Oreochromis niloticus: one gene and its partners. The protein of the gene in region 2 interacts with the protein of the main gene of each other region in a biochemical or structural test. Links are inferred from orthologs where the notes say so. Each region holds a gene or a part of one and is shown on either strand. Other genes may lie near its edges.

Region 1 (7,310 bases), on a different chromosome or scaffold from region 2:
TTCTTTGACCTAAACGCTCAGTGGCCTGAACACTTTTATTGTATTAATCTTTCTCTTTGTTGTCATCTACTCAGGGAAAACGCCCCGACCTCACAGAAATGGGCAGATAGAACTCTGCATACACGATTAAAGACCTCTCCATAGGCTCAATGGGCAAAGAGTTTGTGCAAGCTGAACAAAAACCTGCATCGATTAAAAATTTCTAGCTGAGAACCAGAAAAAGAAGAAGAAAAAAAAAAAAGAGACAAGTGAGTGGATAGTTTTTAATAAAAAAAAGAACCCATAGGGTTTCATACAAAATAAAAAAATCTGCACATATCAAGAGCGTATTACAAACATATTTTCTCACAAATCAGTCATTAACAGTGATTTCCCTGCGCCCTGAAAGAACAGAAGTTGTGAATTCACAAAAGTGGAACTCTTAAATGAAATGTTGTCTGGGACAACTGCAGATCAGATACAAGGATTCACCTCAGATAAAGTGCGTTCCATAGAGAGCGTGTGGTATGGGCGGCACTCACAGTAATTAGCGCCAGCCACCAAGCTGTGATTTGGAAGCTGCATATCTCCACATCAAAAACATTGTTCAACTGAACAGAGTCTTCTAGGCAGTAGTAGAGTCAAAAGCGATCAAAAAGTGCAACAATACAGGAATAAAGGATACTACTGACATTTAAGGAAGAAATTTACATGCTGTAATTCTCAAAAGCAACAGTGTTCCCAACAAATTCGTAACAGCGATGCAAACTGAGTGGACTGGTAAAAGGAGGTTTCCTTTTGTGTAGTCCTGTAAAAATACAGGCTTGGAGTGGAATGAGAAAAAGCGACGGTGCCAAAGCAGACCAGTGCTTGGACCAGTAACAAAGTCATAGTGGCTGTAAATGGAGAGTGAGACTCTGGCAGTCTCTGGAAAGGGCAGCTTATTCAGAAATGCAGCATATCACTGTGCCATCTGGCCTCAACATCTCTGGTCTGAAGAGCACGAGCAGGAAGACTCATAAGCGATGAAGCAGGTTGAAGGCAGCTGATGTAGCAAACGACCAACATTTCTGTCCACCTCCACATTCGTGCCTTTACTTCTCCATCCAACCTCCTCTGGAGTTTAGACCTTCTGCCTGTTTTCAAGTTTGGTCCTTAACAGGTGGACCACAGTTCCACGGTTCCCACTGGTAGACTTCAGCAGACCGGCAGCATGCGAGCATTGCCGTTGAACTCCTCCTCTGCCTGAAAAAGCACATAATTCCTTTTAGTTATCTCAAGGAACACAACTTCTTATTAACAGGACACTTTTAAGTTACCAGAGATCCTTACCTCACTGTATGCTGGAGGCGCTGGGTACTGGAAGGCTGGTGCGTTCATGAAGATGGGACTCTCATCGCCGTCAAAGTCATCAAGGAGAGGTGTGAGAGGCTGGTCTAGGCGGCAGTCCCGCGTCACGTCGCAGTAGCTGGGAGGTTCAGAAGGCATCCTGAGAGACACCCAGCTCTGGGAGGCAGTGCTGGCTGAACTGTCCTGGCTGCTCACACTGTTGCTGCGGCTGCCCAGACCGGCAGTCCCAATGACCAAAGGCAACTCCAGGATCAGCTTATCACTACCAGGAATGTGTACGTAAATCTATGATGTAGAAAAACAACGTTATTAACACCAATGTTTACGAGATAAACACCAAAACTTTCAAGAACTGAAGGCTCACCATCAGAGCGTACTCCACGCGGATGATGTTGCAGCCCAGCATGGATGGTTTGATCTTCGGTACCCTGATAGTTTTTCCCTGCCAGGCGTCGCACATCCCAGAGATGATGTGGTTACCACGCACCGAGGACAGCTTCTGGCGTAGGATCTTGGTGCGGCCGTTTGCCTGGTAGGTGTGTTTGGCTATGATGGCAGCCTTGGGCACAACAATGCGGGAGCAGGTGTTCTCAAACTTTGCATTGATGCAAATCTCTTCGCCTTCACAGAATCCACGCCGGTCAATTTTTGCATTCAACGACACCTGACCGTCAGGGATGAACATGCAGGTGACTTTCTTCTCCTTCATGCCACCTGCTGGAGACTGAAGAGCAGCAGAAAGACAGTGTTTGGTTATGCAGTCCCAAGCTTCAATGACAAAAACACTGACTATGTTTTGGCATTAGTGAACTCACCAGCAGGTCTGGGGTGTTGACATCCAGTGGCTCCTCCACCTCGAAACATTTCTTGCACTCCAGCACGGGCTGCTGCGGCCTCTCCATCAGGGCTTTGACACAGTACTGAACGTAGCCAAACTTCCCCTTGTATGACGACACCAGTTGCCTGTAAGAACCGTTATTGCTCCATCACTTGTAAGTCAGTGAAGAGGTGCACACTGCATCTCTTTAGATAAATGGAAAATCATGCGTCACATAGCGCATCCTCACCCTTGCTGAGGGAGCTCGAATCCAAACGTGTACTCGTACTTGTTGCCAGGTCTCAACACCACGGAGCCGTCAGAGTCTGGAAAAGAAAGTAAAACCCTTTACTGCATTATTCATGTACAGCAGGTTTCACTGCTGCCCTAACAATTATTACAACACCCACAAACATGTTTTAAGCCGGTAAATGTCTAACACGCATTCCAGGATATCCAGCATAAAGGTCATTCCCGTACCTGTGGGCTGGTCTTGCAGCCGCAGGACCGCTTCATATCTGAGGTACTCGGCCTCCTGTCGGCACCGCTGCTTGCCTTTAGCGTACTCCACCTTGGCGCAGCCCAGACCCAGAAGCTTCAGCGCGGACACCCGCATCATTTCGCTGACTTCCACTTCGACACGGCCAGACACCGTGTCTCCGCCGCAGTAAAAAGTCTTACTGGGATCGGAAAAGATTATCTGAAAGATTTTCACTTTCTTCGTCATCGCCACCATGATTGGCAATCTCGAAAATGGACAAAAAGAGCTGAAACGTTAAACTTCACAAACAAATCCCTTGGAAACTATCGGTAATCCATACACGTCGAGCGACCAATTCACTTTGCTGTAAACAAAGGGAGGAGGCTGCTTTTATGAGCTGGGCACGAAGAGGCAGAATGAACAGCATGGCTCAGTGCGTGCACACTGCTCTGATTGGTGGAGAAAGCTTTGTTTGTGTCAGCCCTGCCCAATCAGCGCAATGAAGCAACGCGTGAACACCGCGTGGCTGGAAGAATGTACAGCGTGCTTAGCAGATGCCTGCACAGGAAACTGAAAGAACACAGAGAGAACATTGCATTTATAGTAAACACGTTCAGACGCGTGCAATCATGGCCTGACAATGAGTCAGTTCAGTATCACATGTAGGGGAAACCTGAAAGCCCACAGTATCACCAAATACTTTGATAAAGTAGAATAAACGGAACACATGTATTTTGTTTTTGTGAGTGATTATAATCTATAAGGCACATGAAATTATAATTATATTGAAATATTTAATTCTTTAACATTTTCAATTTTTCTATAGCCTTTTTTGTCCAGTAGCTGTTTTAAAGAATGAATCGAATGCTCAAGGTGGCGAGGTCAACACTCTAAACAGAGTGCTAAAAAATGGATGGATATCCTTTATGCGAGCTTCAGGAAAATAAGGAAGTGTTTTATACAATATAAGCATTTAAAAAGGGAAGTATAATACTGACTGCAGGGATGAGTCTTTGTCTAAAACAGGGATGTCAAGCTCATTTTATATAGTGGGCGACATACAGCCCACTCTGACCTTACATGGATGAGTCAAACTAATTTCAGTCAGTGCCAAAAGTTCAACTACACGTGTAATCAATAAGATCTCTTAACATAAAACAACGAGCAGCAGGTTCAACATTTCTCAGGTTTTCTACATAGTAAAGAATTCCTGCTGTAGTAAAAGAAAGAAATCGGTCAGCATGACTCTTTGAACTTAACCTGTAATTAGTCATGTGCAAAAATAACAAAATGTAGTTACTTTGGTGTACTGTCAGTGGACACGTGGGAGGTTTTCATGAGAAGGAAAAACTGTAAAACTTGTGAAAATAAGTGTAGAATAAAGAAAATTTATGGCCTCAGAAAAACCCCAACCTAGCCAAGCAGGCTGGATTGGAGTTTTCCTGGCCCCGAGGCCTCATGTTTGACAGCACTAGTCTAGAAGATGTTAAAATAGCCTATCCCAACACCTTCATGAGAGGCCCTGGAGAAATCTAGCCATTTCTAGGTTAAACCTAGTATTTGAGAGCTCCCAGTTCACAGCAGCTTTCTTAGGAATGTCGATACGGTGTCTTGTTCCTGCACGAAGCCATTCTGGCCATTCTGAGCTCCGTGAACTTCAACCTACTTTTTGTGTGAGGGGGCGGTCTGGCAAGCTAATGGAGTACTGCTGCTTCCCAGTGGAGAAGGTAAGCTACTACAGTATACCAGCACCCTCTGCATCAAGATCAAACACCCAGTGTCAATGAGTGCTAGTCTCAAGTTTAATAGGACAGTGCAGGAATTAAATCTAGGACAAGGCAAGACTTTAAAAACAAAAACTTGATCCTTTTCTTTAAGGATAGTTAGTGATATAATGAAAGCAAAAAAAATTCCCCACATCTCCCTCATTAGATTCTGGAACAGTCAGACCTGAACACGTGTAAACATCAACCTTCAGATGTCCAGCAGTCATGTCCCAAAACCATCATGAAGTCAGGAGCTTTAAAAAGTATTACCACTAAGTATTCATTTTCAGCAACAAAACAAAACACTTGTTTCTGCAAGCCAAAGACTTAACCTTAAACAAATAAGGTCCAAACACAAGTGCCAAGTCAAGGTTTGGCTTTAACATGACATCCTTTATTAAATCTCTCATTTGCAAAAGTTATAACACGTTTCCTTCAAAGCCAGCGCCAGCCCGGAGAACAGTCTCCTCTCAGGAATCACTGATCTGCCCCTGAAAGGAAAAGAACACAGATTTCAGATACAGAATGACTGTAGCACCTTCAATAAGTGAAGTCAGTGACGCGCATAAATTATGTTGAAGTTGTCAGCTTCTCTTCCACCAGCACCCATTTAGCTCGACTCTACAGTTTATTTTTCATTACACTCAACTACTGCCCCAATGTGCTAGGCGTCGTTATAGCTACAGCATCATGATTCTTTACCCTCACCCCAAACCAGTCATAGGAGATGATTACCACCTCCCGCTGAGCCTGGATCTGCTGGAGCTTCTACCATTGTAGGGTCTTTACAATAAAAGCACCTTTATTGTGAACTGGCCTTATATAAATACATTTTTATTGAATTAAAGTGATTGAGAGTCACCTTCCTGAAAGTGAAGGCTCAACATATCATTAATCCTGGAATTTAGCTTTTTCATACACCCCTCAGGAAATGTTCCCAACAGGTTCTTCTAAGCTGGTTGCTTGAGAAGCCCACTGGGATGGCTTGTTTTTTGGTCATGTCCACAGCTAAACAGGAACACAGAATCCTGACAGCCTTGGTTCATGACCACTTTAAAGCAACACACACACACACACACACACACACACACACACACACACACACACACTTTACTTACAGCGATCAGCTGCAGTCCTTTCCATGCAGGCAGGACAGCCTTCAGAGTCTGAAACACATGGGTTTATTAAATTATTGGACCGTGTCCTGTCATGTGGACATCTACATGCTCTGTGCAAAAGCCAGTTTTCTCTTTATGAAGACCGTCTTTAGACTCAGGCCTGCTTGCTGCAGTCTTCAGTTAACTGTCAAGTCTAAAGTTAATTGTTCACCTGCACATTTCATTTTCACTGCTGTCACTTTGCATGCGAGCAGCTATTAAGCTGGCTTTTCCTCATACTGGAGCTTGTTGAACAGGAAAAGTTTTAATGTTTATTACAGTAACAACAAGTGCCGCTGTTTTGGATGCTCGGAAAGAATTCCTTCATACCGTCGCAGTAACTGCTCTGCCTCTTTGCTCCAGATCTTTCTCTTTTTAAATTTACAAATGTTGCTGAAAACCTCATATTGTGAGTTTTATAGAGTTCAGGGATTTTCAGAGACTTAATATTTTTTAAAATTAATATTTAAAAAGGAAACACTGTTAAAGCAGGCACGTGATATGCACATAACCTCACGCTACTCACACTATACTGTTTACTACTATCCATGTTTATCTGTGTGGTCCACCCTAACCAGTGATATGAAAACAGTCAGTCCACTGATAAGACTTGTAAACAATGACTTTGCAAAATGCAGAATAGGAAATCTATGGAGTAGTTGGGTAATATTTGACAGACTTGTTCTGCATCAGTATCTCACAACGCTCATGGCAGTGAACGTGTGGGTAAAGCGAAACAGATTTACTTTGTGAGGCATTTCCAACGACATGGCCCTACAGCGAAAGGTCTGTCGGGATAGACCTCAGCATACTACTGAGCATAAATGATATGCATGAATACATCAAGCATCAGTGAGTTTCTTACTTGAATTTGATTCATTTCAGTGTCTTCAGTTGGACAGTCTGCTGCTTCCTCCTTTTAACAATAGAGGGTTTGTCACAAGCACCATCGCCCTCATTCCTCCACCTCACCTCGTGGGAAACATGGTGACACTTACAGGGATATGAGGTGTGGCAGCAACATTTTGGCACAACCTGCTGATACAGAATAATTTTAATTACACAAGATAAACAGTGTTAGAAACAAGACAATTTGCATATGCACTTGTTCTTACTCTGTGCAAAAACACATTTCCACAGACATTAGTAAGTAAGGACCAATGCTCCAGCCCCTTTTGTCCTTTGGGCCAATCCTCACCTTTATTACTGAAGTTGAAACGTTGGATCAGGACATGATCATTTGTGGCAGCAGAAACCTGGAAAAAGGTTAACAGTGAGCTCAGTAGTTGATGGAGGGTTACTGAGACAAACAAGTTGGCTGATTACAAAAGCAATTTTCAGATCAGCGACAAAAATTAAGTTGCAGAAAAAAAAGAAAAAAAAAATCAAAACAAAAAACGCCAAACAGCTTTATGTGACGAGGAGTACGGATCCACAAGTAATACAGTGTGTATCAACATGTTTACCAGGACTCCCAACACAAGCAGTCAGGAGACCAACGATGCCATTTGTTGAGTTCATCTTGCACTGACTTTTGAACAAACCAGCTAAAGAAGCAGCTGGCTGCAGATACCACACAGTGCTGCCTTTGTGGCTCAAATTCACTTCTCCTTGAGATTAACATTCATTCTAAAGGATCTTGTTTTTCCTTTTGTACATTTTGATTCACTGATTGCAATCATCTGTCAGTTTGGTTTTCACTGTGGTGGACATTTACATCGCGGGAGTAAGTGATATGGATGCAGAAACTTGACATACCG
Region 2 (7,110 bases):
CCAACTTAATGAGGTGTGGTTCTACTTGAAAGCAAAGTAGGTAGGATCATTTTAATATTCACTTACACTGCTGTGGTGAAACTACACTGTCCTGAAGATGGACTACAAAAAGTGTGTCTTAAATGTTGCTTTATGCAGATCATAAAATAGGAGAATCCAGTAAAAAATATCACTCTTGCAAAATTTGGAGTTTACATATATTATCTCATTTTTTAAAGTGAAATTAAATGATTTGTTGCTCATTCAATCCATTTATATTTTCTCTTCCAGCTGAAGGGATAATGCTGTATAACTCCTGTCTGTTTAAAGGCCTTCAGCATCTGTGACCAAGCCCAAAAAAAAATAAAAAAAATAAAAAAATGGAAAAACCTAAGGCTGGCAATACTGAAAAGTCCAACCATTCAAAATTTACTTTGATCACCTTAACAGAAACTCAGTCTTTGTCAAGTTGATTTGTAAAAAATTTTTATAAAGTGCAAAAGCAGATTTTATTAAAACAGCGGAACAATCACAGTTCATCCATTGCTTCCTGTATTGTAATGGTTTTTAAAACTCTTATGCACACCACAGGGATAGCCAAAATATCAAAGCAAACCTCTGTAAAGTTGACTCTGACAGTCAACTTTGTATGTTCCTTGTTTCCTTACTTGTTTCATGAGCAAGAATGTACTGTTTTATTTTTATTTTAATCTAACTTGTAAAAGGGTAATGCAAAACAATTCTTCTGCTGTAAAGTCAAAGAAAGGCATCCAGATCATTGAAAGAAAAGAAAAAAAAACATTGGATCAGGAGACAGATTATTCAATGTCCAAATGTTTGCTCCAGTAACACTGTTTAGTTTTCACAATCCCCACAGTACACTAGGGATGCACCTCTGGAGTATGGTGCTTTGTACAAACGTGTGTAATTTCACTTACCGTACTGAGAGCGTGAAGTCTCCTGGATTGCTTTTACTGGGTCTGGCTAAAAAGCTCCCGTCCACTCCACGAGTCAGCAGAAGGTTTTCAGCCTCCACACCTGTGATGTTGGGGTGAAACCACCTGAAAGAGGACAAGTAAAATAACAATTTAGACTTACTGTTAAGTACATGCATTTAATTTTTACTCATTATAAAGTGCATTGTGTGAACTTTTTGCCAAAAATCCATACATTGCACAACAACAACATGACATAATAAACTCAGAGTTGATGGTCAGTTATAGTACTAAGAGGTGCCCAAAATTATGAATTAACTGCTTAAAACTTGATTATTTGCAATTTTCAATCCACTATTCAGAGAAAGTATTATCAAAGTTCTTCTAAAAGTTTGTAGTTACATCTCCAGTCACTTATCTGGGCATTTTGAAGTAATACTCAAGTTTAATTTGAATGGTCACCTGGACATGAAAGCTGAATCTGATTAAAACAGCTTAAATGTGTCAATGACTTACACAATAATGAGGATTTCAAAAGGCCACTGGGGAAGTTATTCCTATCACCATCCTTGCTGTTAAAAATGTCTTGCCTAGATTTTAATAAACGATTCCTTTGAGAGTCTTGTCTCTCTCTTACAATGTTTCTGGTATTATTGCACAGGGTGCTTGCTGACATCGAGACTGATTTGGAGCCAAAGGTATAAAAGAGCCACACTGTCTTTGTCTTTCTTCACTTCCTCTCTATCCAACTCTGTATATTCCAGTAAAGACATTCGGAGGCTGACTGCGCTCTTTCTACAAGTTGCCACCCGGCACTCCCCCGAAAAGACTGCCTGCCTGTTTCACTCATGCGTCCATTGTGGTCATCTCCTGCCTCTGCCTCCCTGTGAATATGATCTTCATCTTTTCCCTCTCGTCTGTACAAGAAGTCTGTGGTCTGTGCACCATCTATGTGAAATATCTTTATTCCACTCGCTAACGATGACTTTTTAACGCGTTACATTTATAATCTAAGGAATTTAATTTACTTAAAATGTTGAAACTGCTATGACTTCTGCCTACTCTGCACATATCTATAACGTGAAAGCACTTCATTTCCGTTTTTCTGATGCACTCCTGCTGTTTTCCCGTTTTCTCGTTAAAATGACTCGTTAATTTTTGTATCAATATGGGGTGTCTTATGTTCAGTTATTTGTAAATACAGCTGGTTTGACTTGGACAGCAGCTCAAAGCATAACAAATCAATCCAGTAAGATGCATCTGTTAACAGCAGCTGTAGCAGGGTTAGTTAACTTTAACTGTACCTATTAGTAACTACAGTTTGTGGACAGCTTAGCTTTGTATGTTCTGTACCAATGTTACAGCGCTGTTTACTTAACAATTTAAGACTGCTTTAAGTTGCCGGTGTAACGCTAAATGAAGCAGCCCTACACCACCTATTTCTGTTTATTTCCAGAAACGTCGGAACTCTCATTGACCGTCTACCGACATACCAAGATCCAAACAGCTGAGTTCACTTAAAGTTAGCAGACTCAGCTAGCATTATCAGCAGACATTGTTTTCCAGACAGCCCCCGCTTACCTCCGAGATGTCATTTTTTTCGTTCCTCACTTCCTCGCTGGCAGTTAGCAGTAGCTTTAATTAGCTGGCTAACGTTTCCCACCGTTAAAGCTTCAGTTACAGTATAAAGTGCTTCATTGGTTCACATCCGGTCAAAACGGGCACCTAAATCTAGTTAAGCATCGACACAAATTTTTTTGATAGCGCCCGTTACAAAAAAATGTCTCTAGGCCTCGGCCCCGGAGACTTCACAGCAAGTCGATTATTGGACGTCACCAAACCTGCGACAAAACAGAGGGTGTAATGGATTTTTTCACCCTCGGCGGCCGTTTCTCGTGGTCGCTTTAACCCGCTTAAATAAAAGCTACAGATCTCGGTCCGTCCGGTAAACGGCGTCAGATAAATTAAAGAGCCAGATCACTTTCACTCAGCGCATGCTCGTTAAAAGGTTTTTTTACGATACAGCGGCGAAAGCGGCAAACGACGAAGAACGTCTGCGAAGGCTTCTCGAACAGTTCGTTGACTGTCTGTGCTCACGGCAAAGCGAAACTTAATCGCAGCTCTAAGCCCTAACGGGAGATAAATTACATTTCATATGTTATTTGTGACGTAATTAGATGCGCAACCATTTTTAAAATGATATTATGAAACTTTCGTAATGTTTTGTTGTGGCGACTCGGGTTATTAGAAACGCGTAAAAATAAATACAGATAAAATTAGTATACATTAACAAATTTTTTCTGTTTGAACATTTTACATGCAATCTTTGAGCTATCCAATATTTGTCATTTGCTTTGTAAGCAAAAACATATAAAATATTTCACATAAAACAGAGACTACCTTAGGAGAAAGTCAAGTGGTGATGTAAGTAACTTTATCACTGAAGCATTGTACTCTTTTCCCCAAAATAGTACATCCATAAGACTGGTGAACATGCATCTTCCTTTTAAATCATTTTATTTATATTTGATCCAACAAATATAAATATTTGGAGAAACCTATTAAAACCTTGGCCAACATTCAAGTCATGATGGATGAGATTTCAACCTGGCAAACAGGGTGCTGGTGTAAACTGCTAATATTGGCCAAAGACAAAGGAAAAGAAGAGGAGGAGGGTGTGTTAGGAGGCAATGAGAGAGTAGGAAAGACAGAAGTCTGGGGGTTAAAGTTGGCAGTATAAATATACTGTGGTAGATATATTGTTTATGCAGGAGACCAGATGGAAGGGAAGCAAGGCCAGGAGTATTGGAGGGGGATTCAAGCTGCTCTACCATGGTGTAGATAGAAACAGGAGTGGAGTAGGGGTAAGGAAGAGTATGTGAACAGTGTTGTGGAGGTGAAAAGTGTCAGGCAGGAACATGAGTCCGAAGCTGGAAATCGAATGGTCGATGTTGAATGTTGTCAGTGCGCATGCCACACAGGCTGGATGTCAATTAGAAGAGAAAGACAAATTCTGGAGTAAGTTGAGTAAGTCAGATGAAGCAATAATGTCCCCAGGGGGGACATTATTGTGATTGGTGCAAAATTCTATGGACATGTAGACAAAGGGAACAGAGGTATTAAGTAGGTAAGGTGTTAGAGAAATGCAGAGGGACAGATAATAGTACATTCTGCAAAAAGGATGGAAATGTCTGTACTAAACATGTACTTTAAGAAGAGGGAAGAACACAGGGTGACATATAAGAGATGAGGAAGGTGCACACAGAGGGACCACATCTTATGCAAAATGTGCAATCTGAAAGATATAGGAAACTGGAAGGTGGTGTCAGAGGAGAATGTCATTAAGCAGCATCAGATGGTTGTCTGTAGGATGCCTTTGTACATTAAGAAGAGGAAGCAAGTGAAGGCAGAGGCAAGGAGTAAGTGAAAGAAGTTGAAGAAAGAAGAATGTTGCACAGAGTTCAGGAAGAAGTTGAGGCATACTCTGGGTGGAAAGAAAGAGTTACCCGATGACTGGGAAAGTACAGCTTTAGTGCTGACACTGGTGTTTGGTGGATCCTCTGGACACAACCGGGTAAAGCAGACCTGGTGGTGAAATGATGAAGTACATGAAACTATAGGAAATGAAATGAAACAGGTTAGTAAAGAAGGAGTGACATATTTAGGAGATGAAGAAAATAGATAGGAGTACGGGACGGCTAGGAATACAACAACGAGAGAGGTGGCAAATGAGAAGGATTGTAGTGTGTTGTAAGTAAGAAACTAAGGAAGGAGAAAAGGACTTTTGCTGATTGGCTAGACAGAGAAATTGAAATGGAAAGTATATGCTGCAGGTTAGAGTGGTTAAGCATAGAGATGAAAATGTACTAACAATAGAAGAGAGTGTGTTAAGATGACGGAAGGAGCACTTTGAGCTGCTGATAATTCCAGAAAATGAAGGAGACAGGAAAACAGATGGAGAAAAGTTAGTGAATCACAATGAGTGGAGGATTAATAAGGAGGAAGTGAGGGCAGCTATGAAGAGGATGAAGAGTGCAAACCGAGTTTATCCAGATGACATACCTGTGAAGGCATGGAGATGTCTAGGAGAGCCGTGTTCCAGGTTGTGTTAAACAGTCTTTTGGTTCAAACTGTTTAATACAATGTTGTAAAGTGACAGGAAACCTGAGGAATGGAGAAGAATCAAAATACTTTATTAAGCTGAGGGGAAATTATTTGGTCACTGTTGCTCCAAGACAGTAAGAACAGTAACTTACTAAACTGAATTAAATAATACAAAATATTACAAAGTTACAAATCTAACAAAAAAGTATTCAAGTCTGTCATTCATGCCACACTACAAAAAAGTCTTACAGTGATGCACTGTGTCTTCAAGTAGTATTATCTTCAAGTAGAGTTTTGAACTGCTATGCAACATTAATAAATTATTATTATCATTATTATTGTCGTTACTGCAAAATGCTATCAACTGATATGAAATGTTTTCATAATCGTGTACTATTACTTAGATGACTTAGTGCTGTTGTTTTGGATATTTTCTTATTATATTCTTATTATATATTTGTATAAATATATGTATTTAACTCATTAAATTAGTGCATTTTCACTTATGTTCGTTTGATTTGATTTTTTTTATAAATCAGAAAAAAGTATTTACATTCAGAGTAAAAACACAAATTATAGTAAACTAAAGAACACGACTCTTTAATTATTCGTGTTGCACATAAAGACCCTTTACGGGGTTGACTTTGGCAAGCAGATATAACTTACATGGACTTAAGGGACTTCTTCCAATAACAAATGAGAAAACGAAGAGTTGTCTTTCACTTCCTTTTCAGTGTGTGTCATGTATTCTCGGAGGTTTGGCCCTCGCAGGTACCCGTGCAGTAAGCCCGTACGTGGCAGTCTGAGAGCAGCACAGAGTAGCCGAGCTTGTTGCGGCTCGTCTCCTGCAACAGTCCACTCACACAAACTGGATATACATTAGCATAGAAAATTTTTATACCGTCAGCTTTACGTTTACGCTCTCCATACAACCACGGAAACATGTTTACCTTGTCGGAGCTAGTTGTCTTGCTGGCCGTCCTGTCTGCCACTGCTTCTGGCTACTTCGTTAGCATAGACGCCCATGCCGAGGAGTGCTTCTACGAGCGGGTCAACTCCGGTACCAAGATGGGCCTCATGTTTGAAGTGGCCGAAGGAGGCTTCCTGGACATCGACGTCGAGGTGAGATGTTTCATTCGGATAGCAAAAGAGTCACCTAACGCGAGGCAGAATGTACTTGTAAATCATAAAATGCAATGCAACACAAGGCCTGTGCTAATGTTAGCTATTAGCCGGTACCGTCAGGTAAAACTAGTTGGATGCAAAGCAGGTGTAAAGGATTTAACATACAGTTGAATGGAAAACGTTTACATCTTACAGAGTTGCTTTTTTTAGTTTCCCGCTAAGAGCTGCTCCATAATGATGATTAAATTACCCATTATGATATAGGAAGTGCAGCATTAGCATTGTTTCTAAGTTGCTAATTATGTAGCTAATTATTGATTATTGAATAGTCAATGCGCTGTAGACGTTGTAGAATTCGTTTATTTTCGCTAGTTTTAAGCAGAAAATCTAGCTATTTCTGCAGACAGTCTGACTTAGTTTCTGCCATATGTTTCCTAAAGCACATCATGCCCGTCATGTTATTCTCCACTCAAGCAGCAATGTCAGTTATTTAGATATTCTTCTATCTCCAGATAACAGGACCTGACGGTAAGCAAATTTACAAAGGGGACAGAGAGTCCAGTGGGAAATACTCTGTGGCAGCGCACATGGATGGAACCTACAAGTTCTGCTTCAGCAACAAGATGTCAACCATGACACCCAAGATTGTCATGTTCACCATTGATATCGGAGAGGCTCCCAAAGGCCAAGATATGGAGACGGAAGGTACACAGTGGGGATTTATGTAGTTTAACCGCAACTCTTTTTATTCCTGTTGCTTGTAAAATTATTATTCCTTTTATTCATTTCTCATTTTTTGACTTTATTATGTGGATTCACTGTTTCCCTCTTCGTAGGTGGTGACAGCTGGGATGGTAGGGCACAGCAGGCTTTGACTAAACTACTGTTGTGAAATAAATTTTTGAGCTTGTGATGCACTGCAGTCTTCTCTAACCAGAGTTGCGTCTGTAGTAAAAACTAATTAAGC
Region 3 (7,079 bases), on a different chromosome or scaffold from region 2:
TCGCATTTTATTTGTAGTGTGAACAAGCAGACAAAAAAAATCAGATTTGATCAAAAAATCGGAATTGAGCATTAAGACCTGCAGTGTGAACGTAGCCTTAGGGTTCAAGAGGCTAACAAATGATTTAGACTTCTGTGGGAAATCTATGTTGTAACTCACAAGGTAACTAGAAACCCCTTTTTATCTTCCAGGCCATTCAGTTGTTTCCGCGTCGACCCAAGTTTTAGACAGATTTCTAGGGAGGTGCATGTAGGGTTAAAAGGGGTTTCTGGTTACATGATATGATACATCTGGCATTATAGTGTCAAGTCAATTACAATTCATTTATACAGCACTAGTTGACAACACACTTGTTTTAAGGCTCTTGCTTCTGAAGGAAAGTTTCATTATTCCAGAAAACAGTCTGGCATAAAGTGTACACTAACCTTTCCAGTGCTCTGGAGAATGGTTGTCCTAGTCCTCCAGACCCGCTCTCTGCTAACAATATCCCTGGTGACATCCACTTCTGCATCCACAAAGCTTCTCTGCTTCAGTGTTATGTCATCATCGAGATCTGTTTTGATAGTTGAACGCTTCTTGGCCATAATCTTGGCTTTAATGGCTGCAATTTTTTCCACAGACATGGCCTCAGACAGTGATCTGGAAGACAGGGAGAAATGTTTTGATAAGCTGAACTATCTGTTGGGTGGAACTGGTAATCAGAATAAGTAAAAGCTCATAACCAGATCATACCTGATCTGTTCGATCTGCACGATGCCTTCTTTATGGCCCTCCAGACGGGCAGCCAGACGCTCCTTGTCCAGACGCACACATTCCTCATCCTTGAGGTGAAAGCAGTTTTCACATTATTAGCAAATTGAAGGATAAAAAATGATATAATATCAAAAATCTTTAACTGCCCACACTGCTGAAATCTGTAAAAGTTAAAATACTCAGACTCTGTCACCTGCATGCATGACACACAGTTACCCATCTTATATTCAGTTACACTAAACACTGAAGAATATTTAATGAGCTGCGTTTTCCACTATTTAGAATCTCAAAGTTAATTCATTTAAATATTTTTCTTATGGAATTATTTTAAAAAATACATTATCATTATTATTATTATTATTATCATCATCATCATTATGATTAGTAGTAGTAGTATTTTCAGGTGTAGGGAGTGGTCCACATTTCTCACAGTAAGAATATGTAAACAAATTCAATGTTAAGTGTGTCAGAATAGGAAAACTGTGAATTTCTGTGTCCTGTGTAACACCATACAGAAAACAACATGAGCCACATGTGACATCTGAAGTAACATAATTTACCTCAACTCTTGGTTTTTTGGCTTCAGAAGATGCCTCATCAGCTGCTCTTTTAACTATAAAAAAAAAACAAAAAAACAATGAAAGAAGAAAATCAAACAAAAAACTTTATATCACTATGCAAAACAAAATCCTTCATCCCACCTTCCTTTATTTCACTTATGCAATTTTTTTGTTAAAAAAAAAAAAGGACAGTGTATGTTGCATTACTGATATTAGCACTAGCAGTTATAAGTAGTAATTATTCATGAAATTTAAATTTCAGGATTAAGTTATTAAGCTTTAAACTCCACATCATATTGTAAAAATGCTGTTACTTTACCTTGTGTTGCCCTTTGCAGACCTATTTCTATGGGCGCACTTCTGTCGATGCTCGTTGACGTGGCTGCAAGTGGACAAAAGGGACATTTTACGCAAATTTTCAGTGAACCAAAACCTGGAAGAAATCATTACAATTTTGGAAAATGACAAAGGCTGTACTAGATGCCACAGAACACCCCCTTCCTCAGTGTCCAAGTGCTACTTACAGCTCTCGCCGTTAAGATATGACAGCAAGCCCTTTCGATCAGGTCGTCTGACAACAGGGATGTTCTCTGTCTATAAACAACACACAATCATCGAAGTCAAAACTCTTTAAAGTTTACAAGATGCTGCATTCATGACAAAATGTGGGCTGGAATCAGGGGTGTCCTCAAACAACACGTTGGTAAGCAATGAACTCCAGAGCACTTACTGCAGCTCTTCGCACATAGGATGGATGCGGCAGGTGCACATTGTTGAGCAAGAACAAGATAGAGTCCAAGGTATAGTACTCTTTGGGCTGCCCCTCTTTACCAGTACTAAAGATCAAAACAAACAAAACATTTTTTAAAAAGCATGCAGGTGTCCAGTTTTCCAACTAACAAACTTTAAGTGAATTACTGCGTGATGCACACTTAATGATGTGAACCGCATTAAAGCTTGAATATAAAGCCAAAGTTACTTTATCAACCACTGTCAACAGTTCTCCTGCTAGCTAAAGCACTGCTAGTTGCAACCTTAATTTCTGCGTCACATGCACAAAGTTTGCTTTTTGCACGGTGAAGAAAGATGTTTATAGTCAGGACTGTAGAGACTAAAAGAGAAACAAAAACAAACAAACAGGTGTTTCAACTCGACTCTGAATCTCTGTCTCCGTGCAAGAACTCGCTCGCTAGCTAACGTCCGTGATTAATTAGCATTACACAATACTACAAGTTTGGCTGAACCCCTCGCGAGGTAAGTTTAACAGACATACATTGGCTTTCATGAAAGCTAGTAAAATTGGCTCTATAATGTATGGAAGAGACCTCCCTGTTGCACTAACAATTTAAAGGGTGCTTTAACTTTTAAGGAAAGCAGCGAGGAAAGTAGCTGGGTTAGCATTTCGTAGCTAGCGAGCCTTCCGTCGTTACTAGCAGCACAAGGCACAGATGAGCATCAGCTGCAGGCCTGTTGAAGCACTTTGAAGATTTTATTAGCACTGACATACCCCCAGATTATGTAGTTGGTCTTGACATTCTTCGGCCAGGAGAACTCCCCAAATATAACTTCATCTCCTTTAGCAACAATCTCCTTTTTCTGGATGTTATACTGACGAAGAACACTCAACACATCCGCCATCTTCACTTGTATGTATGTAGTGTGTTTGCAAGGCCCCCAGTTATCAACATCGTGCGGCCTTTCAAGATGCCTGATCTGAATGACGCTTTAAACTGCAAACTTGACTTTGATCACAGTGATGTATCAGTTCCAACAACCCAGGCAATTATCGGTAAAATGAAAGCAAATTTCCAGAGCAGCAAGTTATTTATTAGGAAGGGCTTTACATCGCCGCTACAGTGAATAGGTACATGTTAAGCAGGACAGATACAAGAGAATGGTTGTGAAACACTTGAGAACTATCAAATCTCATGTCCATCTCCCAAAACGTGTCAACAGTCATGTTATAAATACTTTATACGTTGACCAAAAAGACTGGATGTTGCTTTAAAATTAAAAATGAAAACATCAGCATGTTGGGACAAACATCCTTCACAGTTACATGGTCAGTTTATTGTTTGTTTTTTTATGAAGACTAATTTAAATTACACCGTGATAAGTAAAGCTTATTACAGTACTTTATTACAGTAAAATGTAAATTCTGATGCACAGAATTCAGACTGAAACACAAAATTTTCACACAAAAAAAAAAAAAAAAAAAAATCCCAAACATTGGCATTAGTCTGTTGTTAAAACTGACGGTCTTTGCTTTAGCTTGGCCACAAATTTTAGTTGTTCTAACATTTGTTTGACACTAAGCCCAGTTTATTGTTTTAAAGCTGAGTTTTTGGTTTTCTTCTTGTGAGATTATACGTTAAAAGAAATATGGCGACACTTTTTCTAAAGCAAATTTGGATTCAAGTGTAAAAGGAATCCAAGATGTTAATACTTAAAGAAAAACTTTTCTGATCTAAGAAATCTGTGAAATTAACACAATAAAAAGCAACTCCAAGTTTTACCATTGACTTTGTATGCTTTGTTTCAGGTTTCTCTTTCACTGATGTTAAGTATGTCTAAGAAACGCTACATGAAATGAAGGTTTAAAGCATCTCTACATCAAACCTGCTAACTCATACCATAGATGCATGTTGAAAACTACAGGTAATCCCCCCTGAAGTAAACCTACAGTTGCAAACACCCTAAAACTGTGACTCTTGCATTGTTCCTCTTAACCTGCCAACCTCTTGCTATAAATGTTGAATTGGCCTTTATATTCTACACTCATTACATTACTCAGGAAAAGTCCCCGAAATCTTATCAGACGAGATCTTGGGCCAAATTACGAATGACACTGAAAGCTCCAAGGTTGAAGCCAGAGATGGTCAGCAAACCCTGGTCTTCTTCGATGGACTTTCCAATGTAAGTCAGCCCACACATCACCAGCTTTGCACATTGCCTTCTTTATGGTCCTCCAGACGGGCAGCCAGACGCACACGTTCCTCATCCTTGAGGTGAAAGCAGTTTTCACATTATTAGCAAATTACAGGATAAAATGTGATATAATATCAAACATCTTTAACTGCCCAAACTGCTGAAAATTCTAAAAGTTAAAATATTCCGACTTTGTCAATTTCTATGTCCTGACTGGGGGGTTGGGGATGTTTGAAGCATCACATTTCTAATGATACCACACAGAGAACAATATGAGCCACATCTGACATCTGAAGTAACATGATTTACCTCAACTCTTGTTTTTTTTGGCTTCAGAAGATGCCTAAAAAAAACAAACAAACAAACAAAAAAAAACAATAAAAAAGAAACAAAAAAACATTATTTCACTGCACGAAACAAATTCCTTCATACCACCTTCCTTTAACTCACTTATTCAATAAAAATTATTTGGAAAAAATATTACTATTAGCGACAGGACAGTGTATGTGCCATTATTTATATCAGCACTAGCAGTTATAAGTAGTAATTAATCCCAAAATGTACATTTCAGCATTAAGTTATGAAGCTTTAAACTCCACATCATATTGTAAAAATGCTGTTACTTTACCTTGTGTTGGCCTTTGCAGACCTATTTCTATGGGCGCACTTCTGTCGATGCTCGTTGACGTGGCTGCAAGTGGACAAAAAGTACATTTTAAGCAAATCTTCAGTGAACCAAAACCTGGAATGACAACACGTGTACTAGATGTCACAGAAAGCTCCCCCCTCAGCGTCCAAGTGCTACTTACAGCTCTCGCCATTAAGATATGTAAGCAAGCCCTTTCGATCAGGTCGTCTGACAGCACGGATGTTCTCTGTCTATAAACAACACACAATCATAAAAGTCAAAACCCTTTGAAGTTAACAAGATGCTACATGTATGACAAATTGTGGGCTGGAATCAGGATTGTCCTCAAACAGCACGTTGGTAAGCAATGAAGGATTGATACTGACAGATTCTGGGCTGATTCATATGAACTCCAGAGCACTTACTGCAGCTCTTCGCACATAGGATGGATGCGGCAGGTGCACATTGTTGAGCAAGAACAAGATAGAGTCCAAGGTATAGTACTCTTTGGGCTGCCCCTCTTTACCAGTACTAAAGATCAAAACAAACACAAAACATTTTTAAAAAAGCATGCAGGTGTCCAGTTTTCCAACTAACAAACTTTAAGTGAATTACTGCGTGATGCACACTTAATGATGTGAACCGCATTAAAGCTTGAATACAAAGCCAAAGTTACTTTATCAACCACTGTCAACAGTTCTTCTGCTAGCTAAAGCACTGCTCCAAAGTTTGCTTTTTGCACGGTGAAGAAAGATGTTTATAGTCATGACTGTAGGGACACAGGTGTTTCAACTTGACTCTCTGGATTTCTGACCAGGGGCGGATCTAGAGAAATTTTCTTAGGGTGGCATAAGGGTGGTATAGAAAGGTGTTACAAAATCAAAGCCTTTTTAAAAACACATATGCACATGTTACATACGATTAAAATGATTCAAATATAGTAAGTATACAAGTTTCATATAAATATAGTCTATAACTTAATTATTTTCTGTAGCCCACATAATTAAACATTTCAGTTACATAAAAACATATGAATTAGGATTCTATGTACTGTATTGCCTGTATAATAAATAAATATGTAGACCAATAAGTCTAAAATACAGAAAGCTACACAACATGGGTGGTTCATCAGTTTCACACTGATTTTTGTTAGAAATAATCAAATTGTTACACGCTTAAGTTTCCACAAAATGTCAGAAATCTGCACTGTCATGAACAAAAATTGAAACCTAATTTTTCATGATTTGTTGGGTTAGCCCTCTGAGGTCCAAAATATAAATTAGACATTTTTGACTACTTTTTATATTTGTACTTCACCTTCAAATTGTTTCATTTTTTATTTTTTGCCTTGCTTGGTATCATTCTTTTCAGCTCAACCTCACGTGTCTGAATTTACAGGTTTTTTTTTCTTTGACATACTGTATTAACACAACTGATTTGAAATCACACAAAAAACAGAAAATCCTTGTCACGGTTTTTTTTTTTAACTATAAAAATCACAGACATGTTTAGTAAATTATTTTCATAACCTGAAATGCAAATTGTAAATTTTGAATACTTATGAACAAATTTTGTAAACAATAAAGTTATAAACTATTTATCTAAAAACGCAGCCAATGCATTTTTTTTTCCATATAACCATTTAAAAACACCTCTATAACAAAAACGAGAGAACAATCGGGTGTCACAATAAGATCCCCACAAATTATTTGTTCCAGTAAAAATAAATAAATAAATAAATAAATAAAATTTGTTTGTCCGCCGCAAGACAGAGAACACCACAGGGATGAACCCTGCAGGCCTGACAACAGGAGGTGCATCACTCCTCCTGTTTTCCACCTGGAGACAGTGTTTACATTGTAATCTGCCTTTGTAACATCGATCGTGGCTCAAGAGTTGGCAGTTCGTCTGTTATCGGAAGGTTGCCGGTTCAAGCCCCAGCCTCTGACAGTCTCGGTCATTTTGTCCTTGGGCAAGGCACTTCACCCGTTGCCTACTGGTGGTGGTCAGAGGGCCCGTTGGCGCCAGTGTCCGGCAGCCTCGCCTCTGTTAGCGCGCCCCAGGGCAGCTGTGGCTACAATGTAGCTTGCCATCACCAGAGTGTGAATGTGTGTGTGAATGGGTGGATGACTGAATGTAGTGTAAAGTGCTTTGGGGTCCATAGGGACTAAGTAAAGCGATATACAAATACAAGCCATTTACCATTAGTG

What was found.
Region 1: the proteins of ptpn11a (region 2) and txnipa are reported together in a solved structure, tested with the Homo sapiens proteins (2 studies listed by BioGRID, with this or other methods). The link is inferred for Oreochromis niloticus from reciprocal best matches to the Homo sapiens genes PTPN11 and TXNIP.
Region 3: of the proteins of ptpn11a (region 2) and cdc73, one has a biochemical effect on the other in vitro, tested with the Homo sapiens proteins (2 studies listed by BioGRID and IntAct). The link is inferred for Oreochromis niloticus from reciprocal best matches to the Homo sapiens genes PTPN11 and CDC73.

The regions. Positions count from the first base shown.
Region 1 is NC_031985.2:35,527,594-35,534,903, forward strand, and holds txnipa (thioredoxin interacting protein a), read right to left. Parts: upstream 3,010-7,310; 5' UTR 2,883-3,009; coding exon 2,627-2,882; intron 2,473-2,626; coding exon 2,397-2,472; intron 2,293-2,396; coding exon 2,145-2,292; intron 2,054-2,144; coding exon 1,694-2,053; intron 1,615-1,693; coding exon 1,312-1,614; intron 1,225-1,311; coding exon 1,177-1,224; 3' UTR 250-1,176; downstream 1-249. UniProt on the Homo sapiens protein: May act as an oxidative stress mediator by inhibiting thioredoxin activity or by limiting its bioavailability.
Region 2 is NC_031972.2:11,313,303-11,320,412, forward strand, and holds the start of ptpn11a (tyrosine-protein phosphatase non-receptor type 11), read right to left. Parts: upstream 3,007-7,110; 5' UTR 2,510-3,006; coding exon 2,496-2,509; intron 1,041-2,495; coding exon 918-1,040; intron 1-917. Other genes in the region: tmed2 (transmembrane emp24 domain-containing protein 2), read left to right, coding at 5,961-6,140, 6,656-6,848. UniProt on the Homo sapiens protein: Acts downstream of various receptor and cytoplasmic protein tyrosine kinases to participate in the signal transduction from the cell surface to the nucleus. Positively regulates MAPK signal transduction pathway. Dephosphorylates GAB1, ARHGAP35 and EGFR.
Region 3 is NC_031982.2:9,749,359-9,756,437, reverse strand, and holds the start of cdc73 (parafibromin), read right to left. Parts: upstream 3,010-7,079; 5' UTR 2,952-3,009; coding exon 2,821-2,951; intron 2,150-2,820; coding exon 2,044-2,149; intron 1,908-2,043; coding exon 1,838-1,907; intron 1,696-1,837; coding exon 1,633-1,695; intron 1,367-1,632; coding exon 1,314-1,366; intron 822-1,313; coding exon 733-821; intron 640-732; coding exon 426-639; intron 1-425. Other genes in the region: parafibromin, read right to left, coding at 4,574-4,584, 4,870-4,932, 5,051-5,120, 5,295-5,400.